7 linked regions of the Macaca mulatta genome follow. The protein of the gene in region 2 interacts with the protein of the main gene of each other region in a biochemical or structural test. Links are inferred from orthologs where the notes say so. Each region holds a gene or a part of one and is shown on either strand. Other genes may lie near its edges.

Region 1 (4,677 bases), on a different chromosome or scaffold from region 2:
ATTTTTGCTGTATTTTTCCTTTTATGAATGTTTTGACCTGAAAAAGCAAAATTGCCTAGGATGAATGAGCTCTTGGGTATAAGAGAATCACCAATATGGAAAAAAAGAAAATGACTGGGTGTGGTGGCACATGCCTGTAATCCCAGCTACATAGGAGGCTGAGGGAGGAGAATCGTTTGAATCCGGGAGGTGGAGGTTGCAGTGAGCTGAGATCACACCACTGCACTCTAGCCTGGGTGACTGAGACTCTGTTTCAATTTAAAAAAAATTTTTAAAAGACAACTATAAGTTTTCCCAACTCATAGTAGTTAAGCGTGTCATTTTAACATATAAAAATTAGTTTCTAAACTAGACATTGCTGAAAAAAATTTCAGTTTCCTTCAGAGAAACAGTATTGAGCTATGAGGTCAGGCAGCTCTTTTTTTAAATCTCCTGATTCTACTGGGTAATCAATGAATTGTTCCGAGATAGCCTCATCTTTGAATTGAACTAATAATATTATCAGTCTCATAAAAGATTTAATAATATAATTCATATAAGCAGTAGAGGTCCTAGCATGTAATACATGCCCCCAGAACATTAGCAACTGTTATTTATTATTTCTCAGAAGTAGAAATATATATTTAGCTACAGTAAATTTTTCAAATGTGGCTGTTATATACATAATATTTATAACATATAGATTTGTTTGAATTTATAGTACTATCTTAAATTATAAATATGTTATCTGCATTGAATATTGGTATAGGAATCCAATGATTATAAGGTATATTGTTGTTAAATAACATAGAGTAATTTATATTTTCAAAAATTAGTGCTCTGTTTAATCTTTACAAGGCAACCTTGACATTCTTTCTCAATTTGGAGAATAAAAAATATCAGGTTTTTCAAAACTCTTCTACAAGTTAATAAAACAGAAATAAAAGGAGACTAGTGAAAGAATGTCAAATAATTAGAAAAAAGTACAATTTATTAATATAAAAGTATAAAGCAAATAGAACACATTCATTTAAGCTAGACAGACATTGACACAAACTTTCAAACTGGATTGTCAGTTTCATCAAATTTGGAATAAACAGAAAAATACAGTATTTACAGATTTTAGTAAAACTAAACAGAAATGGTACAAGAAGGAAATTTATTTTTCACAGAACAAAAATGTCAATTTTGACTTAGGTACCCGCATAGGAGCAGGTGAAGTTCTCAAAGGACAACTTTATTTTTTGTTGTTGTTGTTTTTTTGGTAAGTAAATGAAAACCAAGACATATTTTTCTGCTCTTTTATTTATATTGATGAAACCTCAAAGTCTGTACTCAAATACTTATTAAAATACACCCATACATAAATGATTTCTTGTCAAAATGCATCATTCTTCTTCAAATACAAAAACATAATAAGAAAAAATATTTTCACTTTTCTAAAACCATCACTTTTTCTTAGATCACACTTTTATCTTTCCTCTGAGTGTAGCCCTGGAAAAGCAGTTTGAATGCAAAGCCTCTTGACAAAATATCTGCTTTTTAAAAATGTTAATTTAATATACAAGAAAAAAAAAAGCCTCTGGGAGAAGAGGATAAAGAAGTTAGGATTTCCAACTCCTAGGCTAAAAAACAGCATATCAGAAAGCCATTCAATTTCCTTTACAATGCTGATTAAAGCCTTCATTTTAACCTTCATTATAAATGGAGGACATTAATCCCTAAGCTGTTTTTAAACAATTAATAGAAACCTTCTTCAATCCTATCCATGATTTCCCTGAAAAGCAATAGTTGAGTTCTATTTATTCAGTGTAATGGATCGGCATTTCATTTCAAATAAAACCATATAAGCATGTCTCTATGTAAGATATAAATGTTACACTCATCTATGAACATAATGCTATGTCATGGAGAAATTACAGTGGTAAAATAATGCAGTCTTTAGCAATGTCATTTTGAAGTAAATGATAAAAATAGTGGGCGCTTGAATCATCTTAGAAAACAAATTACTGTACTTTAGAACAATAAAAGCATTGGGTTTAATATCTCATTCTGCTGAAATAGCTTATAGAATCATAAATAGCTGATGCACAGTTCCTGTAATTAAGATTAAGCAGTTAAGAACAGTAAATCAAAGTTTCTTTGGGGTCCATTTTGAGAAAATAATAGAGATTTTAATCATTTGCATGGCTTTATAGTAAAGTTATAAAAACATACACAACTACACATACTGAGATCTGGAGTAGACGCTCGGTGACTTCTTTTCCATGTGATAACTTCTTTGGGTTGTGCGATGGGAGGGTATCGAGTATCTGTAGCTACTGCTCTTTTCATTGCAACAAAAAATACAACAGAACAGGGCTCCTCCAACAATGAGCACGAGTGCAGTGGTCCATCCTAAGTAGAGGGCTTCTCCAAGCTCACGTTTTTGGGCAACATTCACTATCGGGTTATAGAAATCTCTGATGATGGCATTGGCAACCCAGCTCACAGGGATGAGCACCACCATGCCCGTGATGATGAAGATGATTCCAGCTGTCAGCAGAATGTGAGCCTTCACCTTCTCATTGTCCCCCGTGCACCTGGTGCATTTCATGCCAAGGATGGCCATCATGAAAGCCAAGAAGGACATTACGGAAGCAGCACACATCAGTCCTCTGGCTGCCTGTAGGTCCGGAGAAAGAGCCAACAGGGAATCATAGATTTTGCACTGCATCCTGATGTTAGCCTGCCTCACGCAATTCATCCACAGTCCTTCCCAGAAGTTTTCAAACACCACGATGTTGTTTTCAATGAAGGCCGACACTCTCCACTGAGGCATGACGGTGACAGCCACTGTGCCCACCATTCCAACACCACCAAGAAACAGCCCAGCAATTTCTAAGGCATGGGTTGCCATTATCCCCTGGGATGGGTTTTAGTCAGCTGGACTCCCGAGCTGCTAGTTCTGCTTTGAAGCAAGGTTCTCTGTGCCACAGAAGAGAACAGTTTTTGCTGTAGTAATGAACTCAGAACCCAGTGGCTTTTCAAATAAGAGCTGCTTTGCTACTTCTGGCCAGATAGTATCCAGTGCTGGCTGGCTGAGATGGCCCTGTTATTGGCTGCAACAGGTAAACTTACAAATCAGGTGTGGCAACTTTCTCAGCCAATAAAAGGTGGATGGTAACCCAGGTGTGTCTAAACCAACACTTGGGTACTTGTAACGGCTAGACCTGCACATAAACATTCTTTATACTTCTCGGTCTTCCGAGAAGACAGCAGTATGTTTACCTGTAGGCATAGTTATAAATGGTTGCATAAGCATCAAGAAATGAGCCAATCCCTTGTAATGTGAAAGGTGCACCTTGTACAGGCAATTCTGAAACTCTTAGTAAAAGCTGCTGGGACCAAGGGATAAAATAAAATATCTGCCGAAGAATTTTGCAATGCTGTTGAAATGCCAAAGTGAAACGAGAGCAGGGGATTGAAAGATTGCTTTTACCTGAGAAACCACATTCTTTGGGACACATGTGATCCAAGTGATTGATTTAATTTTTCTACAACTTCAAAGCAAGCTCTACTTTGGTGAAATCAGGGAACAGATCATGCCAGAGGACAAAACAAACTAAAGTAATTAAATACACAAGGCTGTCCTTCTCCTTGGCACTTAAAACATATCGGGGTTCTTTAAGGCAGAAAAATTACTCATTGGCACTTTTCTGATAATCTTCATTTATTAAAAAAAAAAATTGCCAAAATAAAAGTCACCAGATAATTATCTTATGTAGCCAGGACTATAGCATTTAAGCAAGCTTATGAGCTTATTTTGTGGTGCTATTCTTGCTGCTTTGTCTTCCTGGGCTGAAGGAACGAGAATTCTGAAGATGTCTCAAGACCCTTGGGTCTATGCAAATGGCCAATATTTCAAAATAAAATATTTACAGGACAAGGGAACTATATTTACTAAACTGTATTATATTAGGTATTAACCAAATATGTTTTCCAACCTTTTAATATTATGTCTGCAGTAGGACATAGAAATCCCTAAATGCAAGACAATGTGAACTTTCTTCTCAAAATAATGATGATCTAACAGTGGTGCTATACTAAGCATAAATGTTTATCTGAGAAAATTCCACCAGCAATTTTCTTCTGGAGATCACCTTGAGCTCTCTGTCTGATCTTTCCTAACTTTAAGCTGCACTTTATTTTCTTTTCTTCTTAACATCATAAAAAATGATCTTTTCTTTACAGTTTTACTTTCTCTCTGCTTCATCGGACTACCTTAAATCCAAATATGGGAGAAAATCTTTTCTGCTCACTAATTAAACTTTGTGAGTTTCATGGTTCAAAAAATCTGAGTCATTTATGGATATTATTAAAACAAAAACTATATGGTAGAAAGGGCAAAAGGAGGATAAAGTAGACCGTCTTCTAAAAAAGAAGTAGGATGCATAGTAGTCTGAGTTGTTATAATTTTGTTAAACAGACATAATAAATGTAATAAAAAGTTAAAACTTAATATTTACAGAAATTTTCTCACTTCTTGACCTGCTAGGTGCTAAATTTCAGGGTGTCCCTTAGGCTGACGTAGAACATATGCGGCATTTTCTTCATCAAGTTTTTATCCATTACAGATTTGTGGTGGAGGGGGACTTAGATTAATCTTGGGAAAATAAGATTTAAGAAGTGAGCAGAAAACATTTTCTCCCATATTTG
Region 2 (4,099 bases):
TTCCACAGATCACTAGAGCAGGGGCACAGTGCCACCAGTCTCTTTGCTAAAGCATAGCAAAAATTAATGACCTTTACTCCGGTTCCCAGTAAGAAGTTCTTCTCTGAGACTTCTACAGCCTGAACTTTATTGTCCATATCACTATCAGCATTTTGGTCAAAACATTTCTACAAGTCTCTAGGAAATTCCAAACTTTCCCTCATTTTTCTGTCTTCTTTTGAGCCCTCCAAACTGTCTCAGCCTTTGCCCATTACCCAGTTCCAAAGCTGCTTCCACATTTTCAGATATCTTCTTGGCAATGTCCTACTTCTCTGGTACCAATTTACTGTATTAGTCCATTCTCACACTGCGATAAAGAACCACCTGAGACTGGGTCATTTATAAAGAAAAGGTTTAATTGGCTCACAGTTCTGCGGGCTGTACAGGCTCCTGCTTCTGGGGAGGCCTCAGGCAACTTGCAGTCATGGTGGAAGGGGAAGGAAGCACATCTTACATGACTGGAGCAGGAGGAAGAGAGTGGGGGAGGTGCTGCCCACTTAAAAAAACATCTTGGGAGAATTCTACCACAAGACAGTGTGAGGGAGATGATGCTAAACCATTAGAAACCACCCCCATGATCCAGTCACCTCCCACCAGGCCCTTCCCTCAACACTGGGGATTACAATTCAACATGAGATTTGGGTGGGAACACGAATGCAAACCATATCAGTTGTTTCCTAAACATAAATATATTAGCTCTTGTTCAACTTTTGAACTGTTGGGTTTGTTTCATAGGTATTCTCCCATGTGCTGTTCTGTCAGTGTGTCCTTGTTTCTGTGAGCTTAGTTTGGTAATTCTCCCTCTTCTCCTTGCTTAAAAGGGCTGAAGAGCTAGTCAGTAGGTTTTATAAATCTGAGCAGTGTCAGGGTTTCTTCGTCGTCTTCCAGGGCTGGGCCCTGGAGTCTGACTTTGTCCTGGCTTACCAGCCACTGTTTCCTTCATCCATGCCCTTCAGATCTCAAGGGGTGCTCTGTGTGTCTGTATGTGTGCTTGTGCAATCTTCTTGACTTTTCCTTACCAGAAGTTTCAAGAAGTAGATGTGACTTCTCCAGAGAAAGATATCCTTTTCAATCTCCCTTATACGATAAAGGCCATCTCTTAAAGAACTACTGAATAAAATTTGTAATTTACTTTTATTTGACCCAGGCGGATGGTGCTACAAGTGATGACCTTGATTTGCATGATGATCGTCTGTCCTACCTGTCAGCTCCAGGTAGTGAATACTCAATGTATAGCACGGACAGTAGACACACTTCTGACTATGAAGACACAGACACAGAAGGCGGGGCCTACACTGATCAAGAACTAGATGAAACTCTTAATGATGAGGTTGGGACTCCACCGGAGTCTGCCATTACACGGTCCTCTGAGCCTGTAAGAGAGGACTCCTCTGGAATGCATCATGAAAACCAAACATATCCTCCTTACTCACCACAAGCGCAGCCACAACCAATTCATAGAATAGACTCCCCTGGATTTAAGCCAGCCTCTCAACAGGTAAGCAGCAAACATTCAACGTTTTGTAGATAGAGGTGCATTATTAAATTTTAGAATGTGGTGATTGAGTTAAAAATATATATGTTGTCCTTTCTCCAGATTAAGAATTAATCTTCAATTTCAATTTGAGAGTACCAAGGACTTAATTCTAAATTTTGTGTGTTTGTCTTAACACAGCAATGTACTGGATTTTTTTTTTTTTCTGGAAAGTTTAGGACATGAGGTCATAGTTTTATTATTCAGCACACTTAAAATGTATGTCTACCAATCACTATAAATTGAAGTGGGAAGTTAGCAGTAAACAGAAACACTATATTTAAAATATTTTAAACACTTCACAGAAAGCAGAAGCTTCATCTCCAGTCCCTTACCTTTCGCCTGAAACAAACCCAGCATCATCAACCTCTGCTGTTAATCATAATGTAAATTTAACTAATGTCAGACTGGAGGAGCCCACCCCAGCTCCTTCCACCACTTACTCACCACAAGCTGATTCTTTAAGAACACCAAGTACTGAGGCAGCTCACATAATGCTAAGAGATCAAGAACCATCATTGTCGTCGCATGTAGATCCAACAAAGGTACCTGTGCTGCGGTGTTGCACTCATTTGTTGCTCTCCATCAATCTGGCACATGATCATTTTTGCTTTGCCCTTTAAGTGTTTCTTTTGCTTTTTTACTGCGGGCTTGTACACTGTAATGCTTTCAAATCAATACAAATCATTTCAGTTTTGTAGTTTGCATGGCTTCCATTGGTATACTGATTATTTGAAAACAGGCCTTTTAATTGAGATTTGTGCTTATTGTTTATTATTTTTATTTTTGGCTTTCAGTATCTTCCAGAATTCCTTAATACGTAATTGAAACCCATCATAAACATATTTATGTTAACACAGATTATGATGCCCATAAATTTTCTTTAGGATTTTTCAGTGTCAAAATGAAGTGTAATCAACAGTTTGGTGCATTAATTTTCTACTAAATTTAATATTTATCTTAACTCACTGTTTAGTACATGCTGAAACATAAAAGCCCCTACCTGCATTATAAATTTTGAGCTTTCACTTAAACCAGCATTTTCCACTAATCTTGTCTATCCTGATAATAAATGGTAAAACGTACCATTTTCACATATTAAATCATAGTTTAATATTTAATCATAGTCTAATAAAATAGACTAAAATTAAAAACAAGACTTTGTCCTTAAATGTGAATTTTTTATACAGGTGTACAGAAAGGATCCATATCCCGAGGAAATGATGAGACAAAACCATGTTTTGAAACAGCCAGCCGTTGGTCACCCAGGGCACAGGCCAGACAAAGAGCCTAATCTGACCTATGAACCCCAACTCCCATACGTAGAGAAACAAGCCAGCAGAGACCTTGAGCAGCCCACGTACAGATACGAGTCCTCAAGCTATACGGACCAGTTTTCTCGAAACTATGAACATCGTCTGCGATACGAAGATCGCGTCCCCATGTATGAAGAACAGTGGTCATATTATGATGACAAACAGCCCTACCCATCTCGGCCACCTTTTGATAATCAGCACTCTCGAGACCTTGACTCCAGACAGCATCCCGAAGAGTCTTCAGAACGCGGGTACTTTCCACGTTTTGAAGAGCCAGCCCCTCTGTCCTATGACAGCAGACCACGTTACGAACAGGCACCTAGAGCGTCTGCCCTGCGGCACGAAGAGCAGCCAGCTCCTGGGTATGACACGCATGGTAGACACAGGCCGGAAACCCAGCCCTACCCTTCAGCAGGGCCCAAGCCCGCAGAGCCCAAGCAGTATTTTGAGCAATATTCACGCAGTTACGAGCAAGTCCCACCCCAAGGATTTACCTCTAGAGCAGGTCATTTTGAGCCTCTCCATGGTGCTGCAGCTGTCCCTCCGCTGATACCTTCATCTCAGCATAAGCCAGAAGCTCTGCCTTCAAATACCAAACCACTGCCTCCACCCCCAACTCAAACCGAAGAAGAGGAAGATCCAGCAATGAAGCCACAGTCTGTACTCACCAGAGTTAAGATGTTTGAAAACAAAAGATCTGCATCCTTAGAGACCAAGAAGGATGTAAATGACACTGCCACTTTTAAGGTAAATATGTCTTTCCTGCCTTGGATGCATAGGCACATGGTTTAAAAGGCTTCTTAGCTCTCCCCTCCCCCATTACATGATATCTATTCTGTAATTATCTGTTCCTTAGGCATATTTGTCTTTTTTTTTTTTCTCCTAAACAGCCTCCAGAAGTAGCATCTAAACCTTCAGGTGCTCCCATCATTGGTCCCAAACCCACTTCTCAGAATCAATTCAGTGAACATGACAAAACTCTATACAGGTGAGTGCACTTTGTGCTCTTTGTGGCATAGAACTGACCAGGAATTTATCCCTCTTAGTCAATGAGAAAACCTTTTACTGTGTTAGTAGAGGAGAGGTGTGAATAGGAGGAGTTTGTCCTTAAATAAAAACTATCAGCTCTCCTACACAGTGATTCTAAGAAAAAAAAAAAAAGTAGAACTTTATTATGCCTTTTCTGACAAATCTTTATACCTTTAGCAAA
Region 3 (4,045 bases), on a different chromosome or scaffold from region 2:
CTCCTGTGGGTACTCACTGATTGCTTCAACCCAAACCATGGCACCCTTGATGACTTTCCCTCAGGAAGCTCAAGGACTATGCATCCCTCTGGGTCCGAACTGGGCACACAGCCACCAGTGCTGGACAATGGTGGCAGCTCAGGGACACACTGGAGCCCCGGCCCCTGCAGAGTTCCCAGCAGGGTTTGGATGAGAGATGCAAAATGACCACACGGCGGGTGAGGAGGGGCTCCCTCGGTGCTGCGGGGATGAGCCCTAGACACTCTCGATCACCCCCACGATGACCCCTTCCCAGAGGTCCCCTCAGTCATCTGCCCTGAACCAAGATCTTCCTGATCCTAGACCCTCCTCCCTCCCTCCATCTCCCAGGGCTCGGTGACATTCCGGGCAGAAATTTCTGACTCTTTTACTCTGGAACCTCCCTCCCCAGCCCAGTCTCTAGTCAAACTGGATTCCTGGCTGTTCCCAGAACAAGCTGCCCTTCCCCACCTTGCCACCTCTGCCCTTGTTCTCTCTGCCCGAATGTCCTCCTTCACCAGTCTCGCTGCCTTGCACATCTCTCCTAAGGGCTGTGTTCCCAGAACGAGCTGCGTTTGTTCAGCCTGGCCCACCGTCTACCAGAATGTCCTCCTTCAGCCAGTCCCGTTGCCTTGCAAAACTTTTCTGGGGGACCCGTTCATGATGCCTTCTGTGGCATAATCCAAGAATCCAGTGCCCCCAGGAGTTGTGCCACCCAGCACCCCTTTGCAGTCAAGCTCCCCCAGCACCACACCTCCCCACCCCGGAAGAGTTCCCCTTCCCTTTGAAATCTCATGGGACTTTGCACCCACCCTGGCTTTATTGGAAGGCTTTGTATGTCTCCACAGGGTAAACACCCATTTACTGGGGTGATGATGTCTCCAGGATCTAGTTAATGTTTGTCGTCGTTGGTGACCAGCCCCACCCAGTTCTGGGCAAGCAGGGTGGCCCCTGGCAGGAACAGAGCCCACCAGACTAAACTTCTGTGGAGGTGGAGAGGGGCAGGCTTCTGTCTCTTTTTGGCTAAAGGTGCATCATATCCAAGGCCCCTCTTCTAGCCAAACAGAGAAGCCGGTGATAGAGATGGGTGAGAGTGGGTGATGTACCCAGGAGTCCCGGCTTCCCGGCTCCTCACTCCCCTACACGTAACTTTATCCAGCCAGTGCCGCAGAGGCTGCTGGTGAGGCCAGATGCATGAATGATCATAATCACAATAGCAGTGAAACTGCCAGTGATGAAACTGATAAGGACAAGAAAGGACAGTAATCAAGGTGCGGTTTCTCGTGGATGTTTCCAAGACTGCATCCTCAAACTCTCTCCCTGAGGGTCTCCACCCTGTCCTCCCACCTAAATCTAGAATGAGGGGACCCTGGCTTGTGGGGACCCTGGTCTTCAGGCTCCCAAACCTGGCTGGTCTGGCTGCCCCCTGGCCTTGCCCTGTGAATATCCAGCTGTCCCTGGGCTGTGATTCAGTGTCTGTCTCCCGGGTGACCTCAGCATGGGCTTTGAGGAAGGGGAGAGGGTAGTTTCTTCTGAGACTGGATAGTGACTCAGGGACCAGGGGCAGGGGCCTCAAAAGTGCCTTTGTTGGCCTGGGCTCAGGAATCCAGAGAAACTGGTCAGGAGGAGGTCCCAGTGATGAAAACCCCTCCCTCTGCCCCCGCCCCTCTGCCAGAGCCATATAACTGCTCAACCTGTCCTGAGAGAGAGAGTGCCCTGGCAGCTGTCGGCTGGAAGGAACTGGTCTGCTCACACTCGCTGGCTTGTGCATCAGGACTGGCTTTTTCTCCTGACTCACAGCGCAAAGGAGCTCTCTGTGAACGTTAAGTCCGTCCCCAGCGCTTGGAATCCTACGGCCTCCTCAGCCGGATCCCCTCAGCCTTCCAGGTCCTCAACCTCCGCGGACGCTGAGCGATGGCCTCCATGGGGCTACAGGTGACGGGCATCGCGCTGGCCGTCCTGGGCTGGCTGGCCGTCATGCTGTGCTGCGCGCTGCCCATGTGGCGCGTGACGGCCTTCATCGGCAGCAACATCGTCACCTCGCAGACCATCTGGGAGGGCCTGTGGATGAACTGCGTGGTGCAGAGCACCGGCCAGATGCAGTGCAAGGTGTACGACTCGCTGCTGGCGCTGCCGCAGGACCTGCAGGCGGCCCGCGCCCTCGTCATCATCAGCATCATCGTGGCCGCTCTGGGCGTGCTGCTGTCCGTGGTGGGGGGCAAGTGTACAAACTGCCTGGAGGATGAGAGTGCCAAGGCCAAGACCATGATCGTGGCGGGTGTGGTGTTCCTGTTGGCCGGCCTGCTGGTGATAGTGCCCGTGTCCTGGACGGCCCACAACATCATCCAAGACTTCTACAACCCGCTGGTGGCCTCCGGGCAGAAGCGGGAGATGGGTGCCTCGCTCTACGTCGGCTGGGCTGCCTCCGGCCTGCTGCTGCTTGGCGGGGGGCTGCTTTGCTGCAACTGCCCACCCCGCACAGACAAGCCTTACTCTGCCAAGTATTCTGCCGCCCGCTCTGCTGCTGCCAGCAACTACGTGTAAGGTGCCACGGCTCCACTCTGTCCCTCTCTGCTTTGTTCTTCCCTGGACTGAGCTCAGCACAGGCTGTGACCCCAGGAGGGCCCTGCCACTGGCCCCTGGCTGCTGGGGACTGGGGACTGGGCAGAGACTGAGCCAGGCAGGAAGGCAGCAGCCTTCAGCCTCTCTGGCCCATTCGGACACCTTCCCAAGGCCGCCTCCTGCTAGCAAGAACAGAGTCCACCCTCCTCTGGATATTGTGGAGGGACAGAAGTGACAGGGTGTGGCAGTGGAGTGGGGAGCTGGCTTCTGCTGGCCAGGATGGCTCAACCGTGACTTTGGGCTCTGCCTGCATCGGTGTTGGCCACTGTCCCCATTTACATTTTCCCCACTCTGTCTGCCTGCATCTCCTCTGTTCCGGGCAGGCCTTGATGTCACCTCTAGGACTGTGCCTTGCTCACCGAAACCCGCACCCAGGAGTATGGCTGAGGCCTTGCCCACCCACCTGCCTGAGGAGGGCAGAGTGGATGGACGGGTTTGGAGGGGAGGGGTGAAGGCTTTGTAAACAGGTTTGGGCAGTGGTGGGGGAGGGGGCCAGAGAGGCCGCTCAGGCTGCCCAGCTCTGTGGCCTCAGGACTCTGCCTCACCCACTTCAGCCATGGGCCACTGGAGACTGATCCCCCTGAGTCCTCTGCCCCTGCCAAGGACACTAACCAGCCTGGGAGGGTGGCAGGGAGGAGGGGCGGCTTCACCCTCGGGAGTCCTGGGGTTCTTCCTCCTCCTTCTTCGTGGTTTCTGTTTTGTAATTTAAGAAGATCTATTCATCACTGTAATTATTATTATTTTCTACAATAAATGGAACCTGTGCACAGGAGGAACTTGTATTGTCTCTGATTTCAGCTGTGGAGGTGGGTGGGGCAGGGCTGGAGGCCTAGGCAGGGGGTAGGTGAGGGGCAAGGCCGCTGTGTTTTGGCCAGTACATGAACACTTAAAAAAAAAAAAACGACGAGATCCAGGGAACTGTGAAAAACTGGAGCTGGGCTGGGTGTGGCGGTGAGCACCTGTAATCCCAGCACTTTACTAGGTCGAGGTGGGAGGATCGCTCGAGGCAGGAGTTTGAGACCAGCCTGCCCAACATCGTGGCGCCATCTCTCCAAAAAGTTTAAAAAATGAGCTGGGCCTGGTGGCTCATGCCTGTAATCCCTGTACTTGGGGAGGTTGAGGTAAGCGAATTGCTTGAGCCCAGGAGTTTATGAGGCCGCAGTGAGCTTTGATCGCACCACTGCACTTCAGCCTGGGTGACGGGGCGAGACCTTATCTCTTAACAACAAAAAAAAATGAAACGGGCCTCCAAGGTGTCACCTTAAAAAATAAATTAAATGGGCCTCCAACGTATCAAAGTTTTAAAAAAAAGAAATGGATCCCCAAGCCATCACCTAAAAAAAAAAATGAGATAGGCCCCCAAGGTATCACTTTGTCCAGATGGGGGCCCTTCATTGGTTGGAGG
Region 4 (4,099 bases), on a different chromosome or scaffold from region 2:
GATTGAAGACGCCCACGAGAGTCGCTATGAGACAAATGTGGATTATTCCTTTTTCACGGAGCCTGTGTCTTGTGAGGTTCACAACAAAGTGGGGAGCACCAATGTCAGCACTTTAGTAAATGTCCACTGTGAGTAGCTGGGAGGGCAGGGACGGGGACAGAGAGCGGGAGGGCAGGGACGGGGACAGAGAGCAGGAGGGCAGGGACAGGGACAGAGAGCGGGAGGGCAGGGACAGGGACAGAGAGCGGGAGGGCAGGGACGGGGACAGAGAGCAGGCGGGCAGGGACGGGGACAGAGAGCGGGAGGGCAGGGACGGGGACAGAGAGCAGGAGGGCAGGGACAGGGACAGAGAGCGGGAGGGCAGGGACGGGGACAGAGAGCGGGAGGGCAGGGACGGGGACAGAGAGCGGGAGGGCAGGGACGGGGACAGAGAGCGGGAGGGCAGGGACGGGGACAGAGAGCGGGAGGGCAGGGACGGGGACAGAGAGCGGGAGGGCAGGGACGGGGACAGAGAGCAGGGCCCTGGAGGGCCTGGGGCAGAGTCGGGGACGGCTCCATGAATGGGGAGGTAGCAGGGCAGGAGGAAGAAGATTGATTGGAGTTAACCCCGTGAGCTTGAGACCCTAACGAGTGGCTTCTTTCTCCCTCACAGTCGCCCCCCGGATTGTAGTCGACCCCAAACCCACAACTACAGACATTGGCTCTGATGTGACCCTCACCTGTGTCTGGGTTGGGAATCCCCCCCTCACTCTCACCTGGACCAAAAAGGACTCAAACATGGTAAGACTCTTACTGCCTATTCTGAATGCTGGGAGGAAGGGGTGTGGCCACAGATGGGAGTAGATGGGGGGCTGCAGCATCATCTTTGAACCTGGGCTATTTCTAGGGTCTTGGGATTTGAAGGAGAAGGTGCTTACAGTTATCCCCACCTCTTCTCACAGGACTGCTGCCCAGTTCAGAAGCACTTGGGGGACAAACTCAGCTATGCATGGGAAGCAGGGTGGGATGGGAGGAAGGGAGAGGGCCTGGGATGGGCCTGCTGCAGTGGCAAAGGTCTGGTAAATAATGCTGCACAGGGGGGTGGGGAAGCTGAGGCGATTCGCTAGAGAAGGCTGGAGTCTATAGCTCTGCAGAGATGCCCATTAGACCATTTGGGCCAGAACTGCAGGAAGAGGAATCTCAGAGTAAAACGTCCTACTTCATTTGGCAATGAAAACATGACAGATCATCAGAAGAGGCTGCATCCTCCTAAAATGATTGCAGCCTTCACCCGCCCTCTCTGGCCTCCACCCCATCCCTGCCCACTCTTGCAGAGATGGGGTATTTACGTGCCAACCTGTGTAGAGTCAGAGCATGGACCAAAATGGACTCGGGAATCCCTTTTCCTTTCTGGGAATTCACTTGTGGCCCTTCCTGCTTTCTTTCCAATGCCTCCGATGTGGGGCCCTCATGGACCTAGGGGCCCAGGCCTCCTGGCTCCCCACCCGAGGCTGCTCTCTCTGCCCAGGTCCTGAGTAACAGCAACCAGCTGCTGCTGAAGTCGGTGACTCAGGCAGACGCTGGCACCTACACCTGCCGGGCCATTGTGCCTCGAATCGGAGTGGCTGAGAGGGAGGTGCCGCTCTATGTGAACGGTGAGTCAGTGGCCTGAGAGGCAGCCGGGCCTGGGTGGGCGGGCACTGAGGTTTTTAACTGGTTCTGATGTGTGTCTTCTTGCTTGCAGGGCCCCCCATCATCTCCAGTGAGGCGGTGCAGTACGCTGTGAGGGGTGACGGTGGCAAGGTGGAGTGTTTCATTGGGAGCACACCACCCCCAGACCGCATAGTGAGTGGTGGGCCTGCCTGCGGACAGCCAGCCCTCCCTGCTTCTTTGCCCAGGCCCAGTCTCCTCTCACCTCTGCTGGTTTTGCTCCTTCAACTTCCCTGTCCCGTTTCCATCTTCGAATCTTCTGCTTTCTGTCCCTCTGTCCCTTTACCTGCTCAAATCCCACCTCCTCCCTTACTCGTTATGTGTCCCTGAGCAGATCACTTAATGTTTTGAACCTCAGTTTATTCATCTACAAAACAGGGCCAGTAAATCCTACCTAATAGAGTTGCTGTGAGAAGTCATGGCAGCAACAGGTATGAGACGCCTAGGCCAGCACTCAATTCATGTTAGTTCCCCGCTCTCTCCCCTGGGCTAACACTTCCCCTCTTTTCTCCCTCATCTGCCCTGTCATTGACCTCCTGCTCTTTTCCTTGTTCCCTCCCCTTCCCTGTCTCCTCCTCCTCTGGCTCCTGCCCTCTCCCTCCCATCCCATCAGTTCTCCTGCCTGCCTGGCCCACTCTTCTCTCCCTCCTCTTGCCTTCCTCCTACCAGCCCCTTTGCCTTGCCACTCTCCTCCCTCCTTTCTCCTCTCCCCCACACCATGAGCCATTAATTCCTTCCGTGACCATTAACTGTCAAACCCCTCATCACATTTAATGACCATTTGGCTAACTCCAGGGCTGCCCAGGGACACTTCATTACCACGGCTGCCCGGGCAGCAGGCGGCTGGGCTCCCGGGGGGCTTTCCTTGCAGATCTAGGAGGATTGATCCCTGGAAAGGAGCCAGTTCTCGGCTGCTCCCCTCCCCTTAGGCTCCACTCTGAGGAAGGGGCCACGCAGGGGAATGGCCCAGCTGAGAGGTCAGGGACGGAACGGTCCAGGGATACCCCGTTGTGGGTTCTGCCTATTATAAGTCTGTGGATCAGTCTCAGAGCCAGTCAGGCAGGTCGTGTGGGTTGGTTAACGTTATGCCTAAAGATTGAGTTACGCTTAGTTAGAATCACAGACTATCAGAGCTGAAAGAAATCTTGAGCATTGTCTGGCCCTAGCCTGGTTCTGTCATTGTATAGATGAAGAAAATGAGGCCTAGAGAGGGACGGGGAGGCCACACAGGAGCTCGATGGGCAGAGGAGCCCAGCGTTGTTGAGGACCCATGCAGAACTTTTTCTACAACATCTGGGGCTCCCAGTGTCGGTTCATTGCATCAGCTGCATCCACATCACATGTGATCATTATGAAAACAGAGATTCTCTTCCTCCCTGGAGATTCCTATGTAGGACATAAGTCCCAAAAATCTACATTTGAAAGAATCTCCCTAGGTAAATCTGATGTCAGCCATGCTTGGGAGCCACTGCTCCTCCTTGAGTGGAGAGTCAGTGCCGAGGGTGTGAGGCAGCAGGTGTGACTTAAGTTTGTTACAGGGAGGTGTTAGGCTGGACTCGTGGGGCACACATGGCACATAGGGGTGAGGGTGCCTTGAGGGTGGATCAGGGGACACGTGGGCATGGGCTTCTGCCACCTGCCCCTTTCTTACCTCCTTCCTGCCCTCTCCACTGCAGGCGTGGGCATGGAAGGAGAACTTCTTGGAGGTGGGGACCCTGGAACGCTATACAGTGGAGAGGACCAACTCAGGCAGTGGGGTGCTATCCACGCTCACCATCAACAATGTCATGGAGGCCGACTTTCAGACCCACTACAACTGCACCGCCTGGAACAGCTTCGGGCCAGGCACAGCCATCATCCAGCTGGAAGAGCGAGGTGACTGGCAGTGCTGCCTGCCAGCTGGGGTGCAGGGAAGCCTGAGGATTCTGCTCCCTCTTTTCTCCAGGGGCAGGGCTCAGCTGCTCCCCTTCCCTTGGGCTCTGCTCTGAGGGAGGTGACACACAGAGGGATGTCCCGGCTGAGAGATAAGGAGTGAAGGGGTTTGGGGCTACTCCCGTCTGATTCCTGCCTATTATAAGAGTGTGCATCAAGGAAAGAACTCTCTTGGGCCTTCCCACCAGAACCTGGCCTCCATATGCTCAACTGGGGAAATTCCCTCACTTTGTTAAAGTGTATTGAGCATTTGCTGTGTGCCAGGCTCTGCCCCAGGGTCTGCAGGAAGAGCCGTGAACAAGACACAGTCCCTGACCTCAAGAAACTTTCAGTGTAGCCGGGCGCGGTGGTTCAAGCCTGTAATCCCAGCACTTTGGGAGGCCGAGACGGGCGGATCACGAGGTCAGGAGTTCGAGACCATCCTGGCTAACACGGTGAAACCCCGTCTCTACTAAAAAATACAAAAAACTAGCTGGGC
Region 5 (4,099 bases), on a different chromosome or scaffold from region 2:
CCGAAAAGTGGAGGAGCTACAACGAAAGCTGGATGAAGAGGTGAAGGTGAGGAAAGGTTAGAGGTGCTGGAGACATGAAGGAAAACAGGGAAAAAGCCTTGGCCTGGAGATGGGCTGAGCTGACTCTTCCAAGCAATGGAACAAGCATGTTTGTGCCCTAGGAGACAAGACACAAGAGTGTGTACTAATTCCAGCAAGGACTTCTGGGTTCTCTGGGGGTTAGGGAGGCAGAGCACATCAGGAATCTTCCTACCTTCCATTCCACTCCCTTTGGTAGTTCCCATCCTGGCTCTGCCCCTTACTAGCTGTATAAAACTTAAGAAAATTACTTACATTCTCTGTGCCTCAATTTTTTTTTTTCATCATCATAATGGCAGTGGTAGTAGCTATCATTTATTGAGTATAATTTTGGTAGTATGTACTGTCCTGGGTACTGTAATCATTATAGTTACCCTATGAATACCTATTCTGGACCCTTTTCTGATGAGAAAACTGAAGATCAGAGAGGCTAAGTAAGTTGCCTATGGTAGTAAGTTGCAGAGAGGAATGAAAAAATCCAGGTCAGTCTTATTCTAAAGCCAGTGTACCCTTTTTAAAAACATGTCTTCTGCCTTTCAAAATACTGGTTTGTGTGTAGTTGGTGCTCAATAAATGCTGGATTGTAACTTCCCTTGTCTCTTGGAAAGCCCTGTAGTGTAATGATTAAGTGGTTAGCTGTGGAGCCAAACTAACTGGGTTCATATCCTGGTCCTGTTACTTTTTGGTTGTGTAACTAACCTTGGGCAAGTTCTTTAAATGTTCTAAGCCTCTGTTTCCTAAATTGTAAAGTGGGGATTATGATAGTACTATATTAATTAACTATTGCTGTGTAACAAATTACCCAAAACTCAGCAGCTTAAAACAAACATTTTCTGGCTGGGCACGGTGGCTTACACATGTAATCCTCTGGGAGGCCGAGGCAGGCAGTTCACCTGAGATTGGGAATTTGAGACCAGCCTGACCAGCATGGAGAAACCCTGTCTCTACTAAAAATACAAAATTAGCCCGGCGTGGTGGCACATGCCTGTAATCCCAGCTATTTGGGAGGCTGAGGCAGGAGAATTGCTTGAACCCGGGAGGCAGAGGTTGTGGTGAGTCGAGATGGCGCCATTGCACTCCAGCCTGAGCAACAAGAGCGAAACTCCGTCTCAAAAAAAAAAAAAAAAAAAAAGCATTTCCCAGTGTCTGAGGACCAAGAACCTGGGATCAGCTTAACAGAGTAATTGTGGCTCTGAGTCTGTTATAAGGTTCCAGTCCAGCTTCTGGCTGTGGCCAAAAGAAGTAAATTGGAGGATCTGCTTCTAAAACGGCTTACTCAGGGCCAGGCATGTTGGCTTACGCCAATAATCCCAGCACTTTGGAGGGGCAAGTTGGGAGGACCACTTGAGCCCAGGAGTTTGAGACAAGCCTGGGCAACATAGTGAGACCCTGCCTCTACAAAAAATAAAAAAAATTAACCAAATGTGATGGCATGCACGTGTAGTTCCAGCTACTTGGGAGGCTGAAGTGGGAGGATTGCTCGAGCCCAGGAGGTTAACACTGCACTAAGCTAGGATTGCACTGCTGCACTCCAGCCTGGGTGCCAGAGCAAGACCCTGTCTCAAAAAAATATAAATGAATGAAACAAACAAAACCAGCTTAATTGGCTGGGTGCAGTGGCTCACGCCCGTAATCCCAACCCTTTGGGAGGCCGAGGTGGGTGGATCACCTGAGGTCAGGAGTTCAAGACCAACCTGGCCAACATGGTGAAGCCCTGTCTCTACTGAAAATACAAAAATTAGTCAGGCGTGGTGGCAGGCATCTATAATCTCTGCTACTTGGGAGCCTGAGGCAGGGAGAATTGTTTGAACCTGGGAGGCAGAGGTTGCAGTGAGCTGAGATTGTGCCGCTGCGCTCCAGTTTGGGCAATGGAGTGAGACTCCATCTCAAAAACAAACAAACAAACAAAAAAACAGGCTGGGCGCTGTGACTCATGCTTGTAATGCCAGCACTTTGGGAGGCCGAGGTGGATGGGTTACCTGAGGTCAGGAGTCTGAGACCAGCCTGACCAACATGGAGAAATCCTGTCTCTACTCTAATAATACAAAAATTAGCCAGGTAAGGTGGCGCATGTCTGTAATCCCAGCTACTTAGGAGGCTGAGGCACGAGAATCACTTGAACCCAGGAGGTGGAGGTTGCGGTGAGCCAAGATCTCGCCATTGCACTCCAGTCTGGGCAACAAGAGCGAAACTCCGTCTCAAAACAAAACAAAACAGAACACCAAAAACAAAACAAAACAGAACACCAAAAACAAAACAAAACAAAACAGAAAAACCTGGCTTAATCAAATGGCTGTTGGTTGTTGACCTCAGTTCCTGGCTGTTTGGCCTTCCTCCTAGAGCTGCTTTTGAGTATCCTCATAATATAACAGCTACTTTTTCCCAGAGTGAGGGATCCAAGAGAAAAGCTGCAATGCCTTTTTATGACCTAACCTCAGAATTTACTCATCACGTCCTCCTTTTACCGTTTGTTAGAAGGAAGCCCCTAAGTCAAGCCCGTGCTTGAGGCAAACAGAATTAGGCTTTATCTTTTTTTGTTTTGTTTTGTTTGTTTTGTTTTTTTTGAGATGGAGTTTTGCTCTTGTTGCCCAGGCTGGAGTGCAATGGTGTGATCTCGGCTCACTGCAACTTTGACCTTCTAGGTTCAAGCAATTCTCCTGCCTCAGCCTCCGGAGTAGCTGGGATTACAGGCATGTGCCACCTCGCCCGGCTAATTTTGTATTTTTAGTAGACACGGGGTTTCTCCATGTTGGTCAGGCTGATCTCAAACTCCCAACCTCAGGTGATTGACCAGCCTAGGCCTCCCAAAGTGTTGGGATTATAGTCGTGAGCCACCGCACCCAGCTGGCTGTATCTTTTGAAAGAAATGTCAGATAATTTGTGGACATATTTTACATCATCATAAGTACCAAGGCTAGTTATGAGGATTAAATGTGGATAATACACATAAGGTCCTAAGTACAGTGTCTATCGTACAGCAAGTGTCTAATGAGTGTTAGACATACATTCCCATTATTCTGAGTCTGAGAGGCTTTCCCTACCCTCCATCTGCTGTACTCTCATTCCCTTTTTCAGAGGCGGCAGAAGCTAGAGCCATCACGAGTTGGGCTGGAGCGGCAGCTGGAGGAGAAAACAGAAGAGTGCAGCCGACTGCAGGAGCTGCTGGAAAGAAGGAAGGGGGAGGCCCAGCAGAGCAACAAGGAGTGAGTGCAGCTGATGGCGCACTTTGGGCTGCTGGGGGGCTGCTTGGGGTCGTAGGCCAGGTTTAGAGGCCACTCCCTCTTTGCCCCTAGGGTTGAAGGAGACAGAAGGAAATCTCCGGAAGCTGAAAGGAGCAGTGTTGGTTTAAGGACAGGATAGGGCCTTTCTCTCTACCTTCTTTATCAATAATGGTGGTAGTGCATGATTTTGAGTTAAGCTACCTGGGTTTGCCTCTGTCTCAGATTCTTAAACTATAAAATAGAGTTAATAATAGTACCTACCTCACAGGATCACTGTAAGGATTCAGTCATCCATTCAGCAGATGTTTCATCAAGAATGCTGTGACAGGCATTAATCTAGGTTCCTAAGGCACATCAGTGAACCCTACAGATGAAGGGCTCGCTCTCCAGAAGCTTAGTTTCTACTGAGAGGGAACAGACAGTAAACAAACATATTATGCAAGTAAATTTGTAACACATGAGAAGGCAGTAGATACAACAGGGTAAGGCAGGTCAGGAGGGTCAGGTTGTAGGGGGGCAGGTTGCAAAAATCAGGGGAGGCCTCATCGAGATTTGAAGGCAGGAAGTTTAAATGCATTAATAAATATGAATTAAAATATATGATGTGTTTAGAAAACTGCCTGACACATAGTGTGCAATAATGTTATCTATTATTAGGCTCCAGAACATGAAGCGCCTCTTGGACCAGGGTGAAGGTTTACGACATGGGCTGGAGGCCCAGGTGATGGAGCTGCAGAACAAGCTGAAACAGGTCCAGGGTCCTGAGCCTGCTAAGGAGGTGTTACTGAAGGTAGGGTCTG
Region 6 (4,702 bases), on a different chromosome or scaffold from region 2:
ATATGCTTTTTACAACCTACCCTACATAAACCAGGGAAACAAGAGATTTTAATACCTCCAGTGCTAAAGCCTTGGCAAAGCCCTGCATCTGGGCTCGAAGACAAGTGTTCTCTACTGGGAAAGACAGCAAGGTACAATTTCAGGAAACCCACAGCTAAGCTTTTCACCTAAACACACTTAATGAAATGCAGCTTTTTTATGAGGGATACTGCTTAAATATACACACATAACCCTTTTCGTCTCCACATGTAACAAAACTATCCCAAAACCGGCCAATGAATCACCATCCCAGATCTCTACAGCTGGTGGGCGTAAACACCACTGCTCAGGCAGAGAAATGGAGTGAGGTTTCCTGGACTCCATCCAAAAGCATGCCGCGAGTCATGGCAGGTTCGAAGAGAAAACCTGCGAGTCCAGGGTCCCTCTTCTGAGAATGGGTTTTGAGAGAAAGGTGTAAGCCACACCTTGGATAAACTCTGGCTTTAAGTAAAACAAAAGTGGATTCTGATCTGGAGTTTAAAAAAAACAACTAAGAAGACACCTCTAAAGTGTATGTGGGGGAATAGCTATTTAGTCCTTTCACCGCAGTTTTAAAAACTGTGATAACTACATTAACCAAAAAATGAAAGCAAAACATTTTAACACATTATCGTGTGTAAGGGTGATCCCTTTGAGTTTTTACAACATGGATCAATCTGATTTCATGTGGTCATTTCAGGAAAGTTAAAAGAAAACCTATTTAAAGATGTTGAAAGGAACTATTTTGATCAGAGGAACAAAACTGACAGTGAGGCCTCTCTGGAATTGTCCTTAGAAACCTCCGTCTGCCAATTCCTTAACGTGCTACCTAAAATGCCTGACACCGTTTCCTTAAATATATCTATCTTTCCATGGAGAAATTCAATAATTATTACCTAATTTTTCACTTTATAAGCACAAATATAACCCATGAGGGCAATGAGCAACACATAATTACTAAACTTAGAGATTGGTTTTGGTGTAAAGAAGTCCTAACATGGGAACCTTCAGAAGCTGAAATCCTAACACTCAAAACGACCATGCACATTGACTGAGCCAATGCCACAGGTATTCAAGGTGTTTAAACAGATGTGGAACAGGTTTAATAGCTCTAAACTATATGGCTTTTGATATACACTATTAAAAGTTGTCCATTGATAGGAGGTAGACAAAACAAGTTAAGTAAACTTGAACAATGCCAACACTTTCCACCCTTAGCACACAATGGGGGCTAGTGGGCAGTCACGTTTATCTAGGCAAAGACTAAGGGACCTTTTCTTCAAGTGAGTTAAAGGGCATAACAGACACATGATATAAGACAAGTAATGTGATTTCTCTAGGAAGATACTCCAGCCATGAATCATTATTACCTAAGTAAACGGGAATTTAATGATTTTTCTGACAAGGCACTCAAAACCTTTAGTTAAAAAAAGTTAAAAATTATCCTATTATCCTTCTTCCCACCATCCTTAGAAATATGTCTCTCTATACAATCCTTTCCAACGTGACAAGGGGTCACTGAACATCCATTACACAGAAATTCCTTTGTGGAAGATGGAAACCTAAGGAAGACCCACCTCTTCTTTCTCTCTCACTGCCTTCCACTCCCAGCTGACCTCTGATTTCATCAGCTATGACTATTTTGCTGCATTTCCCTTGAGTGCCTTTACTTTTCCCTTTGTATTATGTTGGGCAGGTTATTTAGAACCTTTGTTGTCAGCCTTCCCCCACTTGCCACCAACCTTCTCTTTCCAAAATAGAACTACACCATCAGCCTCCACCGAAGACCTTGGGTGTAAAACTTCAAACTTTGGGGGAATCTCAAGCGGCTTCTCCAGAGTCTTGCAAGGGGCCTCCCTGCACTAACTAGATCTTACACATTAAAAGAATCATCCTCAAGTATGAGCAGAAGACACTTGGGACATTTCAAGTAGGAATGTAAATTTTACTATGCAAAATCATAGTAAAGGTTACAAAAATTATATCTCATACTTGAGGATTATTTATTTAAGCTTGCACACTTGAGAAGTTACCAGGCTCCAAACTTTTTAAGCCATCCCATTTTTCTTGTCTGAACCCTACCAATCCTCAATTTACCCCAGATCTCAGAATGCCTAGGAGAGGTCTCAGAGCTCAAGTTCAAGTTTAGCCTTCACTCCCTCAATCTCGACCCCCCGGCATAGGAATTTAGGATGAAGCCACACCTAGAGTGGCAGAAAAGTATCACCCAGGGAGTTTTAGGCAAAACTAGAGCTTATGCCTGGGCGTCCCTTTTCTCAGACCAGGATTCTCTTCATTTCCTTACGACAGAGCACATGATCAGAAGACTTGATCAACTGAAGACTGATAACCATGGAATCACAGGACAGAATGAGACGGTAAGGGAGCTGCAGGGGGACTGGGGCCTCTGGACGGCTGGGAGGTGGGGTGCACTCACTGCTCAGATTCAGCAAGGAGTCAAAGACTTTGCACTGGATCTGCCCGGTGCTCTGCGACACGCAGGACATCCACAGCCCCTCGTACATGGCCTGGGCGGTCACGATGTTGTCGCCGGCATAGGAGTAAATCCTCCACTGGGGCAGGGCAGTGCTGACGATGGCGCCGATCCATCCCAGGAAGGCGAGAATGAAGCCCAAAAGCTGCAGCCCCGCGTTGGCCATGACTCGCTCGGCCGCCCGCGCTGGCTCAGGGGTGGCAGGTGCAGAAGGCAGAGAGTTTGCAGGTGCGCAACGCGGGCTCCCGAAGGTGGCTGGGCCCCGCGGAGGAAGTTAAAGCGGGGAGCCCTGCTCGCTGCGCCGCCGCTGGAGAAGCTCTGGGTCCGGGCTGGGGTCCGGGGCCCGGGCGGCGCTGGAGTCTGGATACTAGAAGCTGCGGTTGCTCCCAGGCTCAGGAACTGAGACGCCAAACCGCTGGGCGCCGCGATTTAAAGCAGCTCCGCCCGCCTCGGCCCCGGCAGCCGGGGAGCGCCCCCTGGCGGTTTCAGGGCGGCTCACCGAGAGGGCGCCGGGAGCGCCGGGTTGGGGGAACACGCGGCTGGTGGCGTGGGGACCATCCCGCAGGACCAGGCACTACAGCTGCGTCCCTGCTCGTTTTCTCTGGTGGATCTTCCCGCTCCTGTCAGGCGTTTCGCGCTTTTCATTCATTCACTCCAATTATCCAAAAATTACTATGCACTGTACCTGTAAATCCAAAAAACAAAGATGAAAAAATGAGCCCTCAAGAGCTGCAGTTTTAGGTTTAATACCTTTTTCCTATTATTTTATTAAAAGGCATTTCCACCCAACTCCGCATCTCCTCCCCCATCACACACATTTCTCTCTCCTTTACTTGGCTTCCTCCCCCTTCTCCTTTCATCTCTCTGCTCCCTTCTGTCAAGGTCGTTCCATTACTTGTCTCTGCAAGAGAGAGATCTTTACACTCTACAAATTGGGAAACAGACCCAGAGAGGAACATGATTTACACACACACACACACACACACACACACACAGCATATCCAGTACTTGGCTCCCCTCCCAATCTGCTTTCCACTACATATCAAGTTGACCCAAAAATACCCCCTTTGATCTCTGATTGTCCTTTTTGATGTATTATTGTCCTTACGAAAATGCAGCCTAGCCCTCCCCCGCCAAACATCAACCTCCTGCCCACAGCAGTTATGTCTTAGGCAGCAATTCATTATCAGAGAGACCTGGTCGGTGCCCCGCTCTCCCTGAAAGATGTTAATTTTGTGAGTTATCACATGCTGTTCGTCACAGGTGAGGGCATGTAAACAGCGTTTCCCAGTGGAAGAAGGACTGGGCTGGAGTTGAGGAAGTCTGGGCTCTGGTTCCAGCTTTTGCTGTGACTGGCTATGTCACCCCTCCGGTTTCGGTCTCGCTGGGACTGTAGTTTCCCTCTATGCTTCTCTAAAGCTTCCTTCTTTGTAGTTAGTCAGAAGTGCTGCTGTGGTTAGGAATAATTGAAGTGTTTTCCCACTGCTTTTTGTGCGTGGTGCGAGTGTGGTGGGAGGGGAAGCTTCTATGGTTTTAGTAAAAACAGAAGCACCTTGGAAGCAGAAATAAACATATTAAGGAGAAAACAAGATATACTCTTATATACCATGGCAACTGCTAGTGGGTGACAGAGAAGGAAAGGTGCAAATGCTCAAGGAGGGAATGGGAGGAAAGGCCAAGCCCCACCACCTTCATTTCCACCTGGCTCTCCCTGGATGCCTTTCGTGTAGGCTTACCACTAAAGGACTTGGCTGTGCTAGGATTTGGGGACAAGCACTGAAGAATGTAAAACAGGAGTTAGATGAAGACATTTAATTTGGACTAAGATTAACACAGTGAATGCTGTCTTTCTCCTATCAGCTGTTTAGGGCAAGACCATGTCCCTGTTGTATCCCAGGGTTTGGGCCTGCAGTCAGTACTACTTTCTAGGTCTCGGTGGATGTTCTGTGGGTGCCTGTCAGTGTGAATGAAGATGTATCAATCACATTTGATTTTGTAAAAATTCCCTGATCAGAGAAGGCACTAGAATTTGCTGTAGGACTAGACCAGTACCATGTGAATCACATAATCTCATTTTCCTTTTTTTGTTCCAAACATTTAAGAATTAAAACTGTTATTAAACACCCAGGCACGGTGGCTCAGGCCAGGCGCAGTGGCTCACGCCTGTAATCCCAGCACTTTGGGAGGCTG
Region 7 (4,099 bases), on a different chromosome or scaffold from region 2:
TCCTTTCTCCCTCTCTCTCTCCCTCCCTCTTCCTTCCTTTCTCTCTCCCTCCCTCCCTCTCTTCCTTCCTTTCTCTCTCTCTCCCTCCCTCTCTTCCTTCCTTTCTCCCTCTTTCTCTCCCTCCCTCTCTTCCTTCCTTTCTCCCTCCCTCCCTCCCTCTCTTCTTTCTTTTCTCCCTCCCTCCCTCCCTCCCTCTCTTCTTTCTTTTCTCCCTCCCTCCCTCTCTTCTTTCTTTTCTCCCTCCCTCTCTTCTTTCTTTTCTCCCTCCCTCCCTCTCTTCTTTCTTTTCTCCCTCCCTCCCTCCCTCTCTTCCTTCCTTTCTCCCTCCCTCCCTCCCTCTCTCCTTTCTTTTCTCCCTCCCTCCCTCCCTCCCTCTCTTCTTTCTTTTCTCCCTCCCTCCCTCTCTTCTTTCTTTTCTCCCTCCCTCCCTCTCTTCTTTCTTTTCTCCCTCCCTCCCTCCCTCCCTCTCTTCTTTCTTTTCTCCCTCCCTCCCTCCCTCTCTTCTTTCTTTTCTCCCTCCCTCCCTCCCTCTCTTCTTTCTTTTCTCCTCTTCTTCCTTTTTGTCTGCCTTCATTCCTTCCAAATATTCTCCAAGGGGATAAAACTACTGATAAAAATAATGAAGTATATTATATCAGTCTTAGCTTTTGGTTGCTTTGACAGGGATGGGAAGGAGCAAGGGCTGGCTTTTCTTTTCAAATTTAAAAAAATTCTAGAATTGATAGAATCAACAATCCTATAAACCGATACCAATTAAGATTTTCCTAGGCCCTAAGCTACTTCCTGGTAGTAACTGACTCTTTAAAGGGAGTATTTATTGTTGGCTGCTGCAGTGAACTCGCTTGTGACTTAGGAAAGTGCATTAACCCTTTTACCAGGGAGGCCTGCCCTTCATTTATAAATGATGTTTCCTAGGAATTAGAAATACCTAGACTACTTAATACTACCATGTGTTATGAACTTTAAAAAATGCTCACTGCCTTCCTAACTGTACTACTTTCATGGTTAAAAAAAAAAAAAAAGGAACTTCCCTGTGTGTGTTTTATCTTTGTTCTTCTCTGTCAAATTAAGCAAAAGTCTAGCTTAAACTCCTTGAAGTCATGGAGATTTTTAAGTTCATAGTAAAGATAGAAAGTCTCAAATTTTTAAAAAGGAAAGACAAACTTGAAGCTAAAACTGGAGGAACAGGGTTATTTAAAAAGTCTACTTATACATCTATGGCTTAAAAATACATATTTTTGCATCCACAAATAGCAATTTAATACTGTTTCCAAACTGGATACTGGAGAATATTCCTGTGAAGCCCGCAATTCTGTTGGATATCGCAGGTGTCCTGGGAAACGAATGCAAGTAGGTAAGCATGAAATATTGGGAGGAACAAATGGTTTTCAATTAGACTGTGAATTCCAGCATTTGGGGGTAGAAGGAGCAAGGAGCAGGACATGTCTGAGTGACTTGAAGGATAAACAGGAGAGAATGATTAAAATTAACTTGATATGATGTGTTGCAAAGAAGCAAGGATGCTGTTTTTAAGCCATCTCCCAAATAAGCCAAAAATACTTAGTATTGTAGTTAACCACTGTTTTTAGTTTTTTAAATAATTGTTTTTAAAATACATTCTTCTGGGTAATCTTTCTCTCGATTAAAAGCTAAGTATCTTGTAGTCTAAATTGTTGAAGGTCTAGAAGTTTGAATTTCTGATATTTTTAAAATTCAGGAATGCATATCATTGATATTAGCCACCAAATTAATTCAGGTGTTGACATTTACAGTCAACATAGCAGTTATTTAAGTAATCAGAAAGTATCCCTTTCAATGCTGCTTTGAAATAATCATTTAAAAAATTCATCACAACATGTTTAAAAATTAAGGCATTGTTTTCTTAGTTTCATTTATTCACATATGTCCTCATGGGTTTTTCTTTTGTTGTTGTTGTTTTTGGTTTTTGTTTTTTTGAGAAAGAGTCCTCCTTGCCCAGGCTGGAGTGCAGGGTTGTGATCTCGGCTCACTGCAACCTCTGCCTCCCAGGTTCAAGCAATTCTCCTGCCTCAGCCTCCCAAATAGCTGGGATTACAGGCGCACCCACCGCACCCAGCTAATTTTGGTATCTTTAGTAGAGACAGGGTTTCACCATGTTGGTCAGGCTGGTCTCAAACTCCTGACCACAGGTGATCCACCCACCTCAGTCTCCCAAAGTGCTGGGATTACAAGTGTGAGCCACCGCGCCCGGCCTGTCCTCATGGTTTTTGCCATTACCTTGTACTACCAGCACAATTTCTGTTTATTTTTCCTTCCATTTAAATGGTCCTGTTTACTTTAAACGTCTACCTTTGCCTTCTCTTAAGGAATCATATCCGGGAAGTCATGGTTTTGATGTATTAGTTACTTTTTCTTAGCACACAATAAATACGTAATGAATAAAATTTAAATGTTTGTTTCTCCATGAGGACCACTTTAATTTGGACATGATTCTCACATATCTACTCTTTCTAAATACAAGTTAGCTTAGAAGTTAAAATTAGTTTGTTTAATGCTCATCCATTGATCCGAGGTGTTTTGCGTCCTTGGTTGGGACTTACATCTTTTGAAATACATACAAATTCATAAATTCATTTTTTTGGTTTTCTTTGTGAATTATAACTATTTTCACATGTAACCAAAATTAGAACATGTTAACTCTCCTAAGACATTTTTTCAAAGTGCAGGATTTGTTGGTTGTTTTTTACGGACTCACTGTAAAACTCCAGCAGGCTCTACTCACACTCAGCCTTTCAGCAGTTTAGTTCCTTTTCTTTCAGTCAGAAAAATGGTACTTTCCTTTTATAGAGACTTTTCCAAAAAAAAAAATCACAAAATATTTTCATCTTTAATGTTACATTTTCTCTACACTGAGGCATAATATGGCTGTATGACTTGCTCAACATCACAGAAAATGGTGAACAGGATGTAAGAAGTTAACTTACTCCTAATCTGTTACTCCTCTATCTCCCATTTCATTGAAGAAAAATAACATAAAATTCATACCACGACTTAGCACTTACAGGACAATTTTTCGTGTTAATCCTTCCTTCATAGATGTTAAATTCATTGATAAACTACAAGACAGTTTTTTTTGGTCAGATAATAGCCCTTACTTTGAACGCTTCATAGATGTCAAATTTATTGACTACTACAAAGTAAACAGAAGGCACACTTTGGTTCTCAGGAATTTCACTTGTTGATTTGACTTTGCCTAAGATTATGATTACTGTAGATTTTTTCTCTATCTGCTCTTTTTAATCCAAGTAAATAAAAAGCCGAATCTTACTGACCTCTCAATACCCAAGCAAACTGAGTTTTTACCAAGCAATAATTAATGTTTTCTACTCTGGTCAAATTACTTAACCTTTCAAAAGATTTATCAAGTTTTCTTTTTAAAAAAAAAAATCAATTAATATTTTGGAGGTATTTAAGAAAATTAGTAACACAATTGGCATTAGGAAAGAATTTCAAGACCTGAAGTTTTTATAAGCAGATTCACTTAAACAGTATCTCTAAAAAGATCATTTCCAAAATGTACATTGCTTTAAAATATTTAAATTATTTTTGAGAAAATGCTACCTAATATTTTCTCTAGGTTATTTAATCATATGCTAATTAAAACTTGTTTTTTAAAATGGGAACTCTTTGAAGAATTGCTCCTTTAATAAATACATGGCAAGTATCTAAATGGCAGAAGAGTGTGGCTCATAAAATCCTTATGGACAAGATGGAGAAATATGGTCCAAACAATGTTTTGGTGGATCCACACGCAGTTGAATCCCATGCTCAAAGAATGTTAATAAATTGTGTTGTATGACGGGAGGTGTCTACTAGACTGTTGTTACATAGTTCTTTCCTAAACAAATGCATGTTCATCATGTTATTAATGACTTGAATGAGAGTATTTGTAATAAAATTCTCAGTTTGCAGAAATGTTAAGCTTGGAAGGTTTATGTTATTATTAATAATTTTTTATTAATTATATTATTAATAATACATTATAATTAATGTATTATTGGGCAACAGAATCAATCTGGGAAGAATCACAGTAATTATTTCCAAACTTGGGTTCAAAACA

The links.
Region 1: the proteins of TJP1 (region 2) and CLDN8 form a complex in vitro, tested with the Homo sapiens proteins (2 studies listed by BioGRID and IntAct, with this or other methods). The link is inferred for Macaca mulatta from reciprocal best matches to the Homo sapiens genes TJP1 and CLDN8.
Region 3: the proteins of TJP1 (region 2) and CLDN4 form a complex in vitro, tested with the Homo sapiens proteins (2 studies listed by BioGRID and IntAct, with this or other methods). The link is inferred for Macaca mulatta from reciprocal best matches to the Homo sapiens genes TJP1 and CLDN4.
Region 4: the proteins of TJP1 (region 2) and KIRREL1 form a complex in vitro, tested with the Homo sapiens proteins (3 studies listed by BioGRID and IntAct, with this or other methods). The link is inferred for Macaca mulatta from reciprocal best matches to the Homo sapiens genes TJP1 and KIRREL1.
Region 5: the proteins of TJP1 (region 2) and CGN form a complex in vitro, tested with the Homo sapiens proteins (2 studies listed by BioGRID and IntAct, with this or other methods). The link is inferred for Macaca mulatta from reciprocal best matches to the Homo sapiens genes TJP1 and CGN.
Region 6: the proteins of TJP1 (region 2) and CLDN1 form a complex in vitro, tested with the Homo sapiens proteins (2 studies listed by BioGRID and IntAct, with this or other methods). The link is inferred for Macaca mulatta from reciprocal best matches to the Homo sapiens genes TJP1 and CLDN1.
Region 7: the proteins of TJP1 (region 2) and JAM2 form a complex in vitro, tested with the Homo sapiens proteins (2 studies listed by BioGRID and IntAct, with this or other methods). The link is inferred for Macaca mulatta from reciprocal best matches to the Homo sapiens genes TJP1 and JAM2.

Annotation. Positions count from the first base shown.
Region 1 is NC_133408.1:17,283,630-17,288,306, reverse strand, and holds CLDN8 (claudin-8), read right to left. Parts: upstream 3,105-4,677; 5' UTR 2,879-3,104; coding exon 2,201-2,878; 3' UTR 950-2,200; downstream 1-949.
Region 2 is NC_133412.1:8,697,282-8,701,380, forward strand, and holds part of TJP1 (tight junction protein 1), read left to right. Parts: intron 1-1,186; coding exon 1,187-1,537; intron 1,538-1,878; coding exon 1,879-2,118; intron 2,119-2,763; coding exon 2,764-3,636; intron 3,637-3,779; coding exon 3,780-3,877; intron 3,878-4,099. UniProt on the Homo sapiens protein: TJP1, TJP2, and TJP3 are closely related scaffolding proteins that link tight junction (TJ) transmembrane proteins such as claudins, junctional adhesion molecules, and occludin to the actin cytoskeleton.
Region 3 is NC_133408.1:51,328,557-51,332,601, forward strand, and holds CLDN4 (claudin-4), read left to right. Parts: upstream 1-1,592; 5' UTR 1,593-1,932; coding exon 1,933-2,562; 3' UTR 2,563-3,412; downstream 3,413-4,045. UniProt on the Homo sapiens protein: Can associate with other claudins to regulate tight junction structural and functional strand dynamics.
Region 4 is NC_133406.1:108,862,832-108,866,930, reverse strand, and holds part of KIRREL1 (kin of IRRE-like protein 1), read left to right. Parts: coding exon 1-128; intron 129-652; coding exon 653-780; intron 781-1,459; coding exon 1,460-1,634; intron 1,635-1,723; coding exon 1,724-1,824; intron 1,825-3,365; coding exon 3,366-3,564; intron 3,565-4,099. UniProt on the Homo sapiens protein: Required for proper function of the glomerular filtration barrier. It is involved in the maintenance of a stable podocyte architecture with interdigitating foot processes connected by specialized cell-cell junctions, known as the slit diaphragm.
Region 5 is NC_133406.1:115,557,626-115,561,724, reverse strand, and holds part of CGN (cingulin), read left to right. Parts: coding exon 1-46; intron 47-1,155; exon of another isoform or gene 1,156-1,648; intron 1,649-3,153; coding exon 3,154-3,281; intron 3,282-3,956; coding exon 3,957-4,089; intron 4,090-4,099. UniProt on the Homo sapiens protein: Probably plays a role in the formation and regulation of the tight junction (TJ) paracellular permeability barrier.
Region 6 is NC_133407.1:8,337,640-8,342,341, reverse strand, and holds the start of CLDN1 (claudin-1), read right to left. Parts: upstream 2,948-4,702; 5' UTR 2,679-2,947; coding exon 2,456-2,678; intron 1-2,455.
Region 7 is NC_133408.1:21,799,211-21,803,309, reverse strand, and holds part of JAM2 (junctional adhesion molecule B), read left to right. Parts: intron 1-1,254; coding exon 1,255-1,354; intron 1,355-4,099. UniProt on the Homo sapiens protein: Junctional adhesion protein that mediates heterotypic cell-cell interactions with its cognate receptor JAM3 to regulate different cellular processes. Plays a role in homing and mobilization of hematopoietic stem and progenitor cells within the bone marrow.